Linked DNA regions of Schizosaccharomyces pombe. Each later gene encodes a partner of the first gene's protein in a complex. Each region holds a gene or a part of one and is shown on either strand. Other genes may lie near its edges. A codon is read from its position in the direction of its gene.

Evidence for each region.
Region 2: arc2 (region 1) and arc1 share a complex: the UniProt entries of both Schizosaccharomyces pombe proteins name them as parts of the arp2/3 complex.
Region 3: the proteins of arc2 (region 1) and arc4 are in contact, whole or in part, in a crystal structure (PDB 3DWL), measured with the Schizosaccharomyces pombe proteins. Residues at the interface, in NP_593903.1 of Schizosaccharomyces pombe: Leu2 (codon at 1,745), Ser3 (codon at 1,742), Thr188 (codon at 1,147), Ile191 (codon at 1,138), Phe192 (codon at 1,135), Lys194 (codon at 1,129), Val195 (codon at 1,126), Phe196 (codon at 1,123), Glu199 (codon at 1,114), Phe200 (codon at 1,111), Ala203 (codon at 1,102), Ala212 (codon at 1,075), Pro213 (codon at 1,072), Val215 (codon at 1,066), Phe243 (codon at 982), Leu245 (codon at 976), His249 (codon at 964), Asn254 (codon at 949), Cys258 (codon at 937), His261 (codon at 928), Ile262 (codon at 925), Val264 (codon at 919), Phe265 (codon at 916), Thr268 (codon at 907), His272 (codon at 895), Ser276 (codon at 883), Tyr279 (codon at 874), Met280 (codon at 871), Arg283 (codon at 862), Met284 (codon at 859); in NP_594116.1 of Schizosaccharomyces pombe: Glu81 (codon at 2,412), Ile82 (codon at 2,415), Ile85 (codon at 2,424), Leu86 (codon at 2,427), Lys89 (codon at 2,436), Phe90 (codon at 2,439), Phe93 (codon at 2,448), Leu94 (codon at 2,451), Arg97 (codon at 2,460), Ser100 (codon at 2,469), Phe101 (codon at 2,472), Phe102 (codon at 2,475), Ile103 (codon at 2,478), Glu125 (codon at 2,725), Met126 (codon at 2,728), Leu127 (codon at 2,731), Lys130 (codon at 2,740), Leu131 (codon at 2,743), Phe134 (codon at 2,752), Glu137 (codon at 2,761), Phe138 (codon at 2,764), Glu141 (codon at 2,773), Ala144 (codon at 2,782), Glu145 (codon at 2,785), Glu148 (codon at 2,794), Met149 (codon at 2,797), Phe152 (codon at 2,806), Leu153 (codon at 2,809), Asn154 (codon at 2,812), Arg156 (codon at 2,818).
Region 4: the proteins of arc2 (region 1) and arp3 are in contact, whole or in part, in a crystal structure (PDB 3DWL), measured with the Schizosaccharomyces pombe proteins. Residues at the interface, in NP_593903.1 of Schizosaccharomyces pombe: Met1 (codon at 1,748), Leu4 (codon at 1,739), Asp5 (codon at 1,736), Tyr6 (codon at 1,733), Asn7 (codon at 1,730), Asn8 (codon at 1,727), Ile9 (codon at 1,724), Phe10 (codon at 1,721), Gln29 (codon at 1,624), Val30 (codon at 1,621), Val31 (codon at 1,618), Thr32 (codon at 1,615), Asp33 (codon at 1,612), Phe34 (codon at 1,609), Asp35 (codon at 1,606), Lys115 (codon at 1,366), Arg185 (codon at 1,156), Glu186 (codon at 1,153), Asp189 (codon at 1,144), Arg266 (codon at 913), Asn267 (codon at 910), Phe271 (codon at 898), His272 (codon at 895), Lys274 (codon at 889), Ala275 (codon at 886), Lys277 (codon at 880), Ala278 (codon at 877), Tyr279 (codon at 874), His281 (codon at 868), Gln282 (codon at 865); in NP_592898.1 of Schizosaccharomyces pombe: Ile8 (codon at 1,959), Tyr21 (codon at 2,133), Asn24 (codon at 2,142), Ala26 (codon at 2,148), Pro27 (codon at 2,151), Ser28 (codon at 2,154), Tyr29 (codon at 2,157), Asp71 (codon at 2,283), Leu72 (codon at 2,286), Phe74 (codon at 2,292), Trp102 (codon at 2,376), Asp103 (codon at 2,379), Gln110 (codon at 2,400), Gln111 (codon at 2,403), Phe114 (codon at 2,412), Lys115 (codon at 2,415), Leu117 (codon at 2,421), Arg118 (codon at 2,424), Cys119 (codon at 2,427), Glu120 (codon at 2,430), Pro121 (codon at 2,433), Glu122 (codon at 2,436), His124 (codon at 2,442), Asn141 (codon at 2,493), Glu144 (codon at 2,502), Phe147 (codon at 2,511), Glu148 (codon at 2,514), Ser149 (codon at 2,517), Phe150 (codon at 2,520), Asn151 (codon at 2,523).

What each region holds. Positions count from the first base shown.
Region 1 is NC_003424.3:2,749,224-2,752,489, forward strand, and holds arc2 (ARP2/3 actin-organizing complex subunit Arc34), read right to left. Parts: upstream 1,760-3,266; 5' UTR 1,749-1,759; coding exon 1,687-1,748; intron 1,647-1,686; coding exon 755-1,646; 3' UTR 501-754; downstream 1-500. Other genes in the region: NuA4 histone acetyltransferase complex subunit Eaf6, read left to right, coding at 1-324; SPOM_SPAC6F6.11C (pyridoxine-pyridoxal-pyridoxamine kinase), read right to left, coding at 2,449-2,929, 2,989-3,106, 3,164-3,266. UniProt on the Schizosaccharomyces pombe protein: Functions as actin-binding component of the Arp2/3 complex which is involved in regulation of actin polymerization and together with an activating nucleation-promoting factor (NPF) mediates the formation of branched actin networks.
Region 2 is NC_003423.3:2,212,604-2,216,362, reverse strand, and holds arc1 (ARP2/3 actin-organizing complex WD repeat subunit Sop2), read right to left. Parts: upstream 1,966-3,759; 5' UTR 1,926-1,965; coding exon 1,853-1,925; exon of another isoform or gene 1,806-1,852; coding exon 745-1,805; 3' UTR 546-744; downstream 1-545. Other genes in the region: cdc18 (MCM loader), read left to right, coding at 1-223; meu17 (glucan-alpha-1,4-glucosidase), read left to right, coding at 2,991-3,759. UniProt on the Schizosaccharomyces pombe protein: Functions as a component of the Arp2/3 complex which is involved in regulation of actin polymerization and together with an activating nucleation-promoting factor (NPF) mediates the formation of branched actin networks.
Region 3 is NC_003424.3:3,257,971-3,261,430, reverse strand, and holds arc4 (ARP2/3 actin-organizing complex subunit Arc4), read left to right. Parts: upstream 1-1,946; 5' UTR 1,947-1,986; coding exon 1,987-1,989; intron 1,990-2,043; exon of another isoform or gene 2,044-2,044; coding exon 2,045-2,247; exon of another isoform or gene 2,248-2,377; coding exon 2,378-2,501; exon of another isoform or gene 2,502-2,682; coding exon 2,683-2,859; 3' UTR 2,860-2,960; downstream 2,961-3,460. Other genes in the region: ubiquitin hydrolase Ubp6, read right to left, coding at 324-1,730; gamma tubulin complex linker, pericentrin/kendrin Pcp1, read left to right, coding at 3,266-3,460.
Region 4 is NC_003424.3:348,540-352,913, forward strand, and holds arp3 (ARP2/3 actin-organizing complex actin-related protein subunit Arp3), read left to right. Parts: upstream 1-1,893; 5' UTR 1,894-1,937; coding exon 1,938-1,972; exon of another isoform or gene 1,973-2,035; coding exon 2,036-2,059; exon of another isoform or gene 2,060-2,131; coding exon 2,132-2,660; exon of another isoform or gene 2,661-2,755; coding exon 2,756-3,355; exon of another isoform or gene 3,356-3,420; coding exon 3,421-3,516; 3' UTR 3,517-3,757; downstream 3,758-4,374. Other genes in the region: GATOR2-SEACAT complex ubiquitin-protein ligase E3 subunit Sea4, read left to right, coding at 1-1,373; SPOM_SPAC630.04C (uncharacterized protein), read right to left, coding at 3,888-4,374. UniProt on the Schizosaccharomyces pombe protein: Functions as ATP-binding component of the Arp2/3 complex which is involved in regulation of actin polymerization and together with an activating nucleation-promoting factor (NPF) mediates the formation of branched actin networks.

The DNA.
Region 1 (3,266 bases):
CGACAATTGTTGGAAACTTCGTTAATAGGTCTCGAGGACTCTATCTATAGGCTGGAAGGCAGTTACTTAGAAAAAACATCGGGTACTGGCAACATTATTCGTGGATTCGAAGGTCTTTTAAAAAACAATGCATCAAACCTCCGCCGTCGTGCAGACTATTCGGAATCAGACAGACTGTTTTCTCTTTCTTCCCTGTCGAGTCCCCATACACGTAGTCCAGCTTATGACCTCGACGACTCGACAGAAACTAGTCGAAGAAGAAAACGAAAAAATGAATCTGATAGTCACGAAGGAAGAAGACGTTCTTCTTTTCGAGAACTATAATGTTACTCAGAAAACGGATATAAAGAATATACTTTAAATTTTATGAGGAAGTTCCTTTTTCGGAGCTTTTACAAATCAATTTGCGATTATTTTCTCCTTCTTCTAAGTATTTTGCAATAGCGCTACAAAATTACGGCTTAACTAGCTATTCAAAGTTTGTCCTTTAGAACAGTTACTATTTATGACTTGTATAATACAATTTTCATTTTCAAAAAATAAGCATCTCTTATGTAACGTGTGTATCTACAATCAAAGATTGATATTCCTGTATTTTGCGCTAGCATCATTTAATCAACCCAGCTTTGAATAGAAAAAAAGGGTGAGAAACAATTCACGTTTGTTACGAGGAGAGGGAAGCATGAAGCATATATAAAGATCATAACTACGTATGAAGATACGATGAAAGAAAGGATCAACATGGGACGGAACATTAAGCACGAACAAATGACCTACCAGTAGCTGTCTTTCTCTCCAATTCCACATCGGGCTTGGCCCGGTTCAAAACCTTTTGGAAGTCAGCAACACGCTTACGCATACGTTGGTGCATGTAAGCCTTGGAAGCCTTAATGTGAAAGTGTAGGGTGTTGCGGAAAACCTGGATATGAGATATGCAATCTTCACGATTTTGAGGTGTAAAATGACGCTCAAATAAAACGAATGTTACAAATCCAAAGTCATCACCCTTTTGAATACCCTGAATATCACGAATCTCCAAAGGTGGATCTCTATAGGAAAAGAGCACTTGAGGAGCGGTTTGAATAGCCGGACGGCGACGGGCATCAACGAATTCCTGCAAGAATACCTTGCCAAAGATGCGATCAGTCTCTTCACGGAATTTCGTTGAAAAGACGACTGTAACGCGATCATGCTCAGGCCATAAAACAATAGTTTCTTCATCACGATAATGAATTGCCATGAGCTCCTGAGAAGTGGCTTGCTTGTCAAGCATAGGGGCATTTTCCGGGTCTTTACGAGCCAAATCAGCTAGTTCGGCTTGTTTGGTGAATGCACGGTGGAAGGGAGCAGCTAAAACGTTTCTTTTTAACATAGAAATAGACATAGCTAATTGTTCTTTTTCCTCATCGGTAGCGGGAAGTTGTTGTAAGTCTATAAGAATACTGAAGTTGTATCCCATTTCAGGTTCATGCACATAAGCACCGTAAATCTGTTTCAGTAAATCCAGAGTACCGTAATTAACAAGCTCAGGATAGCATTTCATAGACAGACTGATCAAGATTTTCGTCTTTTCCTCAGGAGTTGAAATGTGGAACGTGACGCCATCAAAATCAGTTACCACTTGATCAATCGACGACGGGTTTTCGCTATAAATTAGTGAAATTCTTTATTGTTTGTTTCACATACCTTGAAAACCTTTCTGTCAGTAACTCGTAAATGAATATATTGTTATAATCTAATGAGAGCATGGTTGATGGTTAACGTGTGACGGACCCGGGAATTCTTATTACTCAGGTTCATATAGTGTTATAAATCCTTATACTGAGGCATCTGCAAACATGTAAGAAAACAACAGATCATATTAAAACCATGAACTCAATATATATTTTTAAAGAACTAACAATCTTTTTGTTCTCATTCTTTGTTCTAGATTACCTTTTGCTTCTTAGGTAAACTTCTACTATTTTACCGTCTATGGATATACTGAATATTTTATCTAAAATGTTAGAAATTAAAAAAAAAAAAAAAAAATTAATCAGTATATTAGGAGTTCTGAATCTAATTACTTTATCTAATTCGAAGTGTACCAATACATGGCTTTTATAAACCTTGGTTGCGAAATTTTGAAACCAGTCAACAGTCTTTAGGATATGGAATAAATAGTTATAAACTTCTAAATTAATTTCAATAAGCATTCTAATATAAAACATTGTATACTTCGCAAAAGAGAGGTATCGTAATGAACCTTTATTTAAGAGAAAAACAAACACCAAGTTAGCATGTAAAAAAGGCAAACGAAACAAGACACTGAAAAAATCTATATTTTGTGAATTTCACGTGCAATCCAAAAAAAGAAAGCGAAAAACGGATAGTAAAAAATCAACTTTGAAACAGCAGGCCTTGGTACAGTAAGGCCAACATATTTTAGACGCATAAAAGATCCGAAATTTAATAATAGTATACTGCTTCGAATAATTTGGATGGAGCTATTATGCTATTTTGACTATTAACTATGCAGAGTTCGGCATAAGCTGGGTGATATTCTTCAACACCTAATGCAGAAATTCGGTCGGCAGTTTTTTGGATCACTTCATGCACAGAACTAAGGGCCATTTCTACTGATTTCTTAAGTTTATCCTCCTTTATAGAGGCAAGGCTCTCAGTACAATCCGGGCTCTCAGCAATATGAGCTGCCATTAGTGCTGTAAATAGATCACCAGTTCCCCGAAATATCCCAGGAATCACGGGAATCAGAACAAAAAAACTTTTGGAATATATAGAAGATCCTATACAGTAGAGTTTTTCTACGCCGTTTTCTTCAACGACAAAAGATGAAATGACAACCCGTGGAACTTTATATTTTTGTTGTAGACATTCCACACATTTAAATGCTGTGTCGATTGAATTTATGCGCATCCCTGAAAGAATTCTAAGTAAAAGTCAGTGATTTTCAAACTCATTGCAGGATTGTTCCTTAAAAGTACTCACTCTGCTTCAAACCCATTAGGTGTAATTAAATCAGCAAAAGGGAGCATCTCTCTATACAGCGGGATAATGCTTTCTTCGACATAAAGCCTTCCATTATCTCCCAAAACTGGATCAAAAACTTTTTAGCGTCAGCATGTCAGTCTTCAAGGGAATTGGCAACTTCTAACGCACATACCCCAAAAAGCCTTCTTATTCTTGGATTTTACGGAGCGAACTATCTCCATTATTGCTTTTACACTTCCTATTCCACGGGCATATCCTGTCAACAAACATTCATA
Region 2 (3,759 bases), on another chromosome or scaffold:
CAGTTCTTTGTGTCTTCGAGATCGTTTGATTTATCCATTAACAAGTTCGGAATTTTGCGATGTCGCGAATTCTTTAGAAACTCTTGCAATCATTCGTTTGCGCACGAAGCAGCGTAACGGAAAGCCTCAGGACCGAATCATTAGTTTGCTTGTTCCAGAAATGGATGTCATTACAGCTGTTGGAGACATTGGTACCTTAAAACGATTTTTTGACAGAAGATAGTACTATCATTTCTTTCTCATTCTTTTTTTCTATTCATTATATTTTTATTTCACGCGTTACGGTTTTCAAATTTTGCCGAAAGGATCAAATTAGAACATCCTTTCAATTTCGTTGTTTGGATTACATAAATTTGAACAATATTATTTATCCAACTTGGTGTTTAAACTTTTCAGGTTGATCTTTACTAATTTTACTAACTATACAATTAATAAACACTTTAATCTAAGTTATATCTAATGATTATTCGTAAGAACGCATACCCGTGGTTCAGTCTCAAGTGGTGGTATAAGTAAACTTACGTAGCAAAAGCACTTCTCAATTTTGGGGTCTCTAAGAAAAAATATATACACAAAACTGAATATGATTGACAAAAATTTATAAGACGACATAGTAATCATATAAGCTGCGGAATAACAGTTACTATATCTAGCTAAAGCTTGTTCAATTCTTTTATTCTATGAGATTAACATCTACGGAAATTCGATAATTGATTTGATAAGATTCATTTGCCGATATCTTTTCTAAAGAGTCCACAAAACAACACGTCCGTCGGTACCGCTGGAGGTAAACGCAGTAATATTGCCAGGAGTCCCAGCGTAAGGTCGAAGGGTTGCAATCATATTTTGATGAACGGTTGGTAAAGACGAAATAGACTGGCTGGAGCCCTTCAAATCCATGTTACGGAATGTGCTACGAAGAGCAGTAAATGAAACAGGACCCTCTTCCTCTCTACCTTCACCAGTATTTCCTGTGTGAGTGAATGAGGTCTTGGAAGTTCCGGCATCCAAATCGCGAGTATGGGCCCAACCGGACTCATTGCCTTGCAAAAGAATAGGAGAATAGTTATAGCCAGCAGCCACAATGGCACTCTCATTCGCCCAAAGAAGAGAACGCAAAGGCAATTGAGATAATTTGACAGTAATTAGAGCTCGTGGGGGTTGCTCGGGAGCACTGGGATATGCAATCGTAACAGAAGAATCATGGCCAGCATACGCTAAGGCATTACCCGAAGGTGAAAATCCAACGGCGTGAACCCAACCACCAGATGGGTATTCAGCGCAAACAGTGTTGAAAGGTAAACGTGAACCCCAAACGCTGGCTTCTGGTTTGGCATCGACATCACGAACATAAGCAGATAAAACGTATGCCTTACGGTCTGCACAGCCGGCAGCTAATAAAACGTTATTAGGATGCCAGTCCAAAGACAAAATGGTACTACGAAGCGGACGTTTCAGATGTTTGCTGACCCACCAGTCATTTTCTTGTTCAAAGTAGCAAACAGAAATGACACGAGCACCACTACCAACAGCAAACTTGTCCTCGTTAGGCGACCAACGAACAAACGTAGCGGCACGATTCAAACGAAGTAAGACGAGGGTCTGCTTCCAAGTCCCATCAGGACGTTTCTCATAAACATAGGCATTACGGTCTTGAGAGCAAGTTACGATTCGATTGGATTTCGGAGCCCAATCGACACAAGTTACAATCTTATCGTGATCGCTAAATGTTCGGGCATGCTTCCACCCATTTCCATCTTGCTCGTAAAGTTCAACTTGGTTCGTAGCAGTTGTGGTGACAAACTCTATATCAAATTTGTTAAAATCTACTTATTTAGGTCCTATACTGTACCTGTTCTTTGACTATTGAACGCGTGTTCGTAAGAGGGTTTAGGAAGAATGTGTAAAACTTGAGAGGTAGCCATTTTTCAGTAACAGGACTAGCAGTCTACTGTTTTGCGGATGATAGACGATATCCAAGGCTGAATCGATATTGGTGATGACGAGAGCAGTAGATACATTAACAAAAAACGTTAGAGTACTTTATATACGATAACGCATATCGATGGTATCGGTAACTCCTTTGTTTACATTTTAAAGGTTTGTAAATATTACAACTCAATTAAGACTAAAAAAAATTCCATTAAATAAAATTTGATTTTCTTGCATATCTTTTAGAGATTTTTTATTTTTAAAATATGAGGTGGATACAAGATTTCTATTTGCGTTGATTGTGGAAGAACAATAGATCTTAATGTCTTGACAATCGTGAGTGAACGATGCTCTCTGAGTATTTTTCTTATTAATGAATAAATAATAGGGCGAAGAGCATAATACAATAATTCTCCTTTACAACAAAGAGATGTGTTTTAATGATTGCTGGAGTAACTGAAACGTTGCTTCAGAATTTGACAGCGACATCTTGTCCATTATCACAGTTATATTTTGTGCTTTTTAACGATGATTATTTAAAAAGATCACACTTGTTGCTTATACTCAGACTCAGTAGCGTATTTGATATTAAAAGCTGTGCTGTCGATTTTTTCCAATTCAACAAATTTTGTCGCTATTTAAGTAATTGGTGAATGCACACTTCCATATTATCATAGATCTGAATACTATAGAATCAAACTTTATAAGCAAGTGTTGAAAATAAACAAACAATAAATACATTTTCTTTGGTAATCCTTGCTTCGCCAAATTTTCAGTATAAGCCAAAAAGGATCAATCACATTCATTTACTCTGTTTATTTACTAACTTATATAGTCTAGTTTTGTCCATTCGTGTCGCAGCATGATGATCGATTTTGATGGTAATTCCCTCTGTTTTTGTTTACTAATAAACAAAGCAAAAGACATATATAGAGCAAATATTCCAGTTAAATTTTAACTAAAGCGCATATTTTTATTCGTTTGCCTATATAATTAAACACGATTGCCATCAATATTTGTATAGTCTACCCAATTTTACAATACTTTTAAATTCCAACATGCGTACATACTGGTTATTCTTACTCCTTGGGGGGGTCGTATCTGCAGAAAGCTTACTTTCCCCTAATAAAAGAAGCAAGGAAGCTTCTATGGATGAATGGACGGATCAGCAAAAGGGTATTGCTATGGGACATATGCTGAACAATATCGGTGACAGCGGTATGCATGCTAAGGATATTAATCCTGGATGTATTATTGCTTCCCCTTCAACTGATTCCCCTGATTACTATTATCAATGGGTTCGTGATAGTGCATTGACGATCATGACTATTTTAGATCGTTTCTTTGAAGGGGACAAAGGACTTGAGCCGATTATCGTCAAATATATGGATGAAATGGTCAGGCTCCAAAAGGTCCCGAACCCAAGTGGAGACTTTTACGCCGGAGGTCTTGGTGAGCCTAAATTTAATGTTGATGGGACAAGCTATGACGGAGATTGGGGACGTCCCCAGAATGATTCCCCTGCTCTTCGGGCTATTGCATTTATCAAATACATGAATTATTTATTTGAAAATGGTAAAGAGGTCCATGAAGTTACTGTCTGGATTGAGGCTGTATTAGCCGACTTGGATTATACTGCAAATCACTGGACAGAGGCAAGCTTTGATCTTTGGGAAGAAATTAAGGACGTTCATTACTTTACTCTAGCCGTTCAGAAGCGTGCCATGCAAGATGGTACAGCTTTTGCAAAGAGAATTGGAGCACCTGACCAAGCCGCACTCTACCAACGCACGATCGAGCCTATTGATCTAAAACTGGGAGAGTTCT
Region 3 (3,460 bases), 510 kb from region 1:
TATAGATTTCAATTTCTTAATTGATGCTAGTGTTTGTTGTGCATGAAAGTATTGTGGTATATGTGTAAAGGTAAAGGAAATAGTATTCATACGTTGGGTATCTTATTTGTTGCTTCAGAATAATATAGAATAAAGCACGTAAATAAATGCAACTGTTTACTGGAATAATATTTTGAGCGTTTTTATCTTACATAAATCATGACCCAGCCCTTCTATTAAAACGTGAGAGTAAACAATGCCACTTTGATATGATACGTTCTAGTTCTTTTCCCATAATAAACAGTCAAAAGAAGGTTTTAAAAAAAAATAAAGAAATCGTAAGCTCATGCAATGTCTTTTGCCTTATAAAGAAGGATGTAGGCACTGTCAGCTTCACCACCACCATCGAGAGTTTCAATTTTTTCAGCAGGAACGATAGATACCTTTGCGTCATTGAACCTGAACCATTCAGCACGATTATTGCTATTTCTTATCCAAGCTTGGTAATGGCCTGAAGATGCACTAGCACCGGCGTGTGATAAAACCCCGACTAAATCATAAAGGCCGGTGGGGTTGGCTCCTTCATCATCAGCGAGCTCAGGATCTACTAGTGATTGACACGTCGCAACCTGAGTAAGCCTGCACTCAGCTTCCGCCTCCTTCTCGTCCTCTGAAGGTTGAATTTTGATACGCTTAGCAGCTCGCTCATGTTCTTCATCATTTTTTTCAATTTCACGTAATTTGTCACGTACGGGAATCAATTTTTGTGAAAGTTCAGGAGTACAAAACTCGACTGCATCGAGCTCAAATGGAAACTTAACCTTACGAAGAATTTTAGCCTTTTTCCCTATTGATGCTTTCCAGTAAAATCGAACAAAATTAACAGTTAAATAATTGGGTAGTCGAGAAATCCTTGAGATTTTGCTATACATGGCATCACGATTTAATACATCACTATGCTTAGAAATTTTTTGCGTAAGCCCTTCAAGGATCCCCTGGGTCATATAGCTTGTATGCATAGAGATATGGCAAGGTAAACTCAAAAACGTATCATGTGAAATAGAGGGTTGCTCCTGTACTTCGTTTTCATCACATTTCATAGTAGATAAAAGTTTTCCAGCCATATTTTTTTGTACCCACTCAGATGATAGGGAGCGCTGTAAAACTGATAGCAAGAATGACCAGCATTCCTCAGCATCCTGTTGAGCATAACCCCCAGTTTCTCTACTCATTTCTGCAAACTGTGGATACTCCATGCGTAGACTTTGAAGAAACCTCATTGGTGTAACCGGAGCATTAGATTGCATAGAATTTAATAACGTCCGATATTCTGCCACCAAACCCCCAGAGGAATTGAATTGTGAGACAGCGTCTGATAATTCTGGAATGGCACGCAGCATTTGAACTGTAGAATTCATGTAACACGTGTTGCCTAAGTTTATAAGCCCTGACGGATAGCCATCATCTTCAGATTCCTCTTGTTCTACTGACTCGACAGCTGGAATGGGCATAGCTGTTGGTAGTTCGCCTGCAGTACCCATCATTAATAAAGTTGCATTTGGTTTAATACCAACTGAACCAAGCAAAACATCGTCTTTAAGCTGGCCACCTTTGACAATCACTTTCTGTCGTTCCGGAGGAACTTGTGTCAACGAGTATAGTTGATGTTTCAAGGTGCTTCCTGTTTCATTAGGTTCAATCTCTAAGTCGTACTTCTTCCCTTGCCAACGAATTGCTATGGGAATCATCATAAATGGTTTTTGTAATTAATGAAAGAAATACTTGTTTAAGCCCAATATAATTTTTTTTGTAATTCTTTGCAAATTATACTTATTATATATGTTGCTGGTACTTGGTGAAGGCCATACAGTAACGAGCTATATACTCATTTTCGGTAACACCACGCAGCGTGCGTGGTTGTGCCGCTAAACTCGTTAAGCAATATCACACTGACACTACGTGTTAGCACAAAACCAAACCCGGAGACTGACTCCATAGATTCTAATTATGGTAAGAGAGGAATTCTTTTGTTATAAAAAGATATGATTTATTAACGAAGGCATAGTCTAATACCTTAAGACCTTATTTAAACGCAGTTCGTTCTACTCTGACTGCTTCTTTAGCATTAGAGGAATTCTCATCAGAAATTGTAGAACGCCAGAGTCAGCCGGAAGTTGAGGTTGGACGGTCTCCTGAAATTCTACTAAAGCCCCTGGTGGTCTCTCGTAATGAGCAAGAACAGTGTTTGATTGAGAGCTCTGTTAATAGGTATGTCTTAGGCATCCGATGTTTCCGATTCGAACTGGTACATTCACTGATCTTTCGATTTGGAATAACGGAGTTTTGAAAGTCATTCTCATTATTTGGATTTTTTTTACTGATGCATTTATGAAATTAGTGTTCGTTTCAGCATTCGTATTAAACAAGTCGATGAAATTGAACGAATTCTTGTGCGCAAATTTATGCAGTTTTTAATGGGTCGTGCAGAATCTTTCTTTATTTTGCGCCGCAAACCTGTTCAGGTACGTTATTACAAATTGTAATTGGCAAAAAAGTGTTCAAGGGAAGAATTTCTAGAGATTTTGCGTTAGTTTAAGTGTTCACTGTTCTGCCTCAGCCATTGTATAGTTCTTCTTTTTTTTCTTTTTCGAAGTTGCCATTGCTATTTGTAAATATCATCAAACTAACCTTTCTTTGTTATAGGGCTATGATATTTCCTTTCTTATAACTAATTACCATACTGAGGAAATGCTTAAGCACAAATTAGTTGATTTCATTATTGAGTTTATGGAGGAAGTTGACGCTGAAATTAGTGAGATGAAACTTTTCTTGAACGGAAGAGCTCGTCTTGTTGCTGAAACTTATCTGAGTTGTTTTTAGATTCATGTTTACGTTTTGGACCCTATCGATGATTTTATCAATTTATACATAAATAAATGAGCACCAAATACTTCTTCCGAATAAAATTCCTATCTCTTCTATTCTGTATTGAGTACAATAAACATATCAAGGCAGTTTTACATTCGATAATCCTTCATATCTACAATCTCGCCTTTTGACTTTTAGCATCCTTACAAGATATAACGAAAGTATACGATATGTTGTTACTTATATTAGGGAGCTGTTTCGTAGTTTATTTGATCATTTGACGACTGTAAACAAACTACAATCAACAACATTTTTGCTTTTTAATGATTCTGCCAGAATAAGTAGTTTCTATATAATTTTATGCACTTGCGCTAGTTGGTGGATAATTTTAATAAATACATGCATCCGCAGTTACGTTATGTCTGAACGAGATTTTAATACGCAATCTCCCAAATTTAAAGATGAAAACGCGAATTCTGTGATCAGCCAATCTGATTTTTTGGGGAAATCACTCAAAAATAATAACGATGATTATTCTGATTTCCGTGGTTCGTACCTTAATGATAAATCATCTTTCCAGACGCCTTTGCGCAACGGCTCTTATCAACCAAAA
Region 4 (4,374 bases), 2.4 Mb from region 1:
ACTTAAGCCATAGACAATCAGAAGAATCACTGTTTGGAGACACAGGAGATACAGATTTCAGCTATCAAGGTGCACTAGGTATTTGGTTTATGGATACTGAATTGACTAGCATGTCCGATGTTTTTGAAGCAAAAGAAAGCAAATTTTTAGAAAAAAAAATTTTAAGACTTGCTAGAGATGTTATTGAGAGACTTGATTTAGATATATTTACGTCTATCCAAACTAAAAGGCCTTTACGCCAACTCGCTTTACTTGCCTGTGGATTAGGAATGTCAAATGATGACTTGTTGTTGGAAATTAGAAGACTGATTCGCAAGAATGAGCATGTAAAAGCCGCTGGGTTAGCACTTTTCCACGGAAAAATTGAAAACGTAGTCCGTATATTATCAAGTGGGAATGAGCTGGAGAAGACCATATCCACAGCAGTTGCCGGATACATTACATCGCAAGGCTTAAGTAACTTTGGAAGTGACTCATTGTGGAAAGAAATGTCTCGTAACTTAAGTACAGAATTGGAAGATCCATACTTACGTGCAATATTTGCGTATGTTTCCAACTCCGATTGGAGAGATGTATTAGATGAAGTTTCTCTCTCATTAAAAGATCGTCTTGGAATTGCTCTTCGCTTTTTACCAGATGACGATTTGAGTAATTATTTGTGCGATTTATGTCACACTACAGTGCAATCAGGCGACCCAGAAGGCCTGTTACTTACAGGTTTAACTCCTTTGGGAATGGAACTTCTGCAGAACTACATTGATCATACAAGCGATGTTCAAACTGCTGCATTGATTGCTGCATTTGTGGTACCTAAGAAATTTCTGGATAAACGTGCAGAGGATTGGACTGAAAGTTATAGAGAGCTTCTAAACCGCTGGAAACTTTACCGTGAGCGTGCAAAGTTTGATATCTTTCGGACAGAACTCTCAAAAAATCACACAGGAGAAATAACCAGAAAGGCTACAGAGCCATCTATACGCATTATCTGCAATTTTTGTAGAAAACCAATTTTTCCTTTCTCCAATAGGAATGAATGTAATAATTTACCAACGCCAATTCAACGAGGTGTCAGTAAAGCAGGCCCAGCAAAACACTTGGGAAAAAGTTGTCCTCATTGCGGACAGCCTCTTCCAAAGTGCTCTGTATGTGGGTTTTCTTTAGGAGATGAAGATGTTCCTCAGAAAGATGACTTTTCTCAAAAACCTCAAAACTATGTCAAAGAAGTTAATCTTCAGAAATCTAGATTTGGGTTATGGTTTAGCTTTTGTCTAAATTGTGGCCATGGAGCTCACGCATCTCATGCTTCAGAATGGTTTTCAACTCATACAATATGTCCGGTTCCTAACTGTGATTGTGAATGCAAACTGAAATAGAAATTGCAAATGAGAGCATTAATTAATAGCATTAAAATAACAGTTTATGGTTTGGTTCACAAGTAATAATTGCTACATGAGTGAATATAAAATCCATGATTACAGCTTAAAAATGTTTAAGGCTAAGAGGTTTAAAGCATAAGGTCTTTAATACTATGATTTGTTTAAAAATTCGACATAGCTATCTACATTTGTAATTGTTTGATAATACCAACGTGGTTAGTTTTATTACTGAAAAGGGATTAACGCAAGATCGTTAATATTTAATTTTCTAGTAGCAAGAAGCGTCTTCTAGCTTAGCAACTTGGTAATTTTAACCGGTGGTACTGGTATTGAAGAAATACATATTTAATTTTTTGTGTAAATTAATTTGGCCTTAGTAAAGATATCCAAAGTGGGTTGTATACGGGCATTCGCATTTAACGTAATCGGCTCATCTCGTAAATTACCATATGTTTCCCGTTAACCCACGTAATTCGACATCGGTGACCGTTGCGAGACGATATTAAGAGTTTCAACTGGAACCAACTTCTCTTTCGCTTACCTTTTCATAAAATAATAGCAATGGCTTCGTTTAATGTTCCCATTATAATGGACAAGTAAGTATTGATGTAGCGAAGTTAAATTGTTCGTGAATATCAGTTACTAACTTTATTTGTTAGCGGTACCGGCTATAGCAAGCTTGGGTATGTGTAATAGTCGTTTTAGGATGTTATTATCTCTCTTTTGAGCATTTATTAACAGTAATTTAATTTCAGCTATGCTGGGAACGATGCTCCTTCTTATGTATTCCCCACTGTTATTGCGACGCGTTCTGCGGGTGCTTCTTCAGGGCCGGCTGTTTCATCAAAGCCTTCTTACATGGCCTCGAAAGGCAGTGGGCATCTCTCAAGCAAAAGGGCAACTGAGGACTTGGACTTTTTTATTGGAAACGATGCATTGAAAAAGGCGTCTGCTGGATATTCTTTGGACTATCCTATCCGTCATGGACAAATAGAAAATTGGGACCATATGGAGCGTTTTTGGCAACAGTCTCTCTTTAAATATTTACGTTGTGAACCAGAGGACCATTATTTTCTTTTGACCGAACCTCCTTTGAATCCACCTGAAAACCGTGAAAATACTGCAGAGATTATGTTTGAGTCGTTCAACTGTGCAGGACTCTACATTGCTGTTCAAGCGGTTTTGGCTCTTGCCGCCTCTTGGACATCTTCAAAAGTTACTGATCGTTCGTTGACCGGTACTGTTGTTGACTCTGGTGATGGCGTTACTCATATTATTCCTGTTGTATGTATAAAAAATCTAATACGAGCTTAGATAAACAGTTTTGAACATTAAATGCATATATATATGCCCGAATTTTACTAACTGATAAACCTTAGGCCGAAGGATATGTTATCGGCTCTTCCATTAAGACAATGCCACTTGCTGGTCGTGATGTTACGTACTTTGTTCAATCCTTATTACGTGACCGCAATGAACCTGATTCAAGTCTCAAAACTGCTGAAAGAATTAAAGAGGAATGTTGCTACGTTTGTCCGGACATTGTTAAGGAGTTTAGTAGATTTGATCGTGAGCCCGACCGTTATTTAAAATATGCATCTGAATCAATTACTGGACACTCTACTACTATTGATGTAGGATTTGAACGCTTCCTCGCACCTGAAATATTTTTTAATCCTGAGATTGCTTCTTCCGATTTTTTGACCCCTCTTCCGGAACTTGTGGACAACGTCGTACAGAGCTCACCCATTGACGTTCGTAAAGGCCTTTATAAAAACATTGTCCTTTCTGGTGGTAGTACTTTGTTTAAGAACTTTGGCAACCGCTTACAAAGAGATCTCAAGCGGATTGTTGACGAGCGTATTCACCGCAGTGAAATGCTCTCCGGTGCTAAAAGTGGTGGTGTAGACGTTAATGTTATCTCCCATAAACGTCAACGAAATGCGGTTTGGTTTGGCGGCAGTTTACTAGCACAAACGGTATGTCATTATCTTATGTTTGTATATTTTTTAGTTTACCCGTAGAGATTTACTGACATGTTTAGCCTGAATTCGGATCCTATTGCCATACCAAAGCAGATTACGAAGAATATGGTGCTTCCATTGCTCGTAGGTACCAAATTTTTGGAAATTCTCTTTAATGAAATATATCATGAGTTTTGCGTCTATAGGATTTACTGATTAAAATGAAAAGTTTAATGGAGCAGGCATTAGCCTTAGAAGAAATAGACTTGAGGTTTGCTATGTTTCCAGGCTTTTTCATTGAGCAATATCAAATAAGATGTATATAATTAACTTGTCCAAATAATAATGATGAGAACCATGAGAATAATAATATAGTGATTACTAATAACGTAAAAGGAGAAAAAAAAAGAAAACGGATGAAACCGATGGGTTCCGCCTGATAAATACTTTATTATTCAAGAACGATGGATAAAATGGAAAGTGTACAAGTACTCAACGAATTTGTTGAGAGAAAGCAGAAGCAATCAAGTAGTCATCATAAAAAAAACTAAACTTCATCATTTTGCGGAGCAGGTAATGATTCATAAGAAGGTGGGCGTTCAATTGCACCGGCAACAGATGGAACGTCGCCGACAAATTCACCATTTTCATCAAATATTGCGGGCGGGGGAGGTGTGCTTGTGGTGGGTAAAGTTTTCAAGTACTGCTGGTTAAGAGCAGTAATAGGTTCATAAAGAGGGAGGCAATCAGTCTGTCGAACATGATGTTCGAATTGTTGTGATGCTCCGGAAGAAGAGCGCTCTCTCCTGTGAATTGAGTGTTGTGTTCTCTGCTGTTCCCGTGCAGAAATTATGGTTCGACACGCTTTAATTCTTTCATGATGCAACATAAATATGACAAACACAACGCAGATTATCCCAAACGTTAATACCAACACTTTTCCCCAGAACTGGGAGTAAGGGTCATACGGGATATCTGAAGCATCTGATGTTGAAACCAATTGATCATTAGCCATCACAAGGTCTATGGCTGAT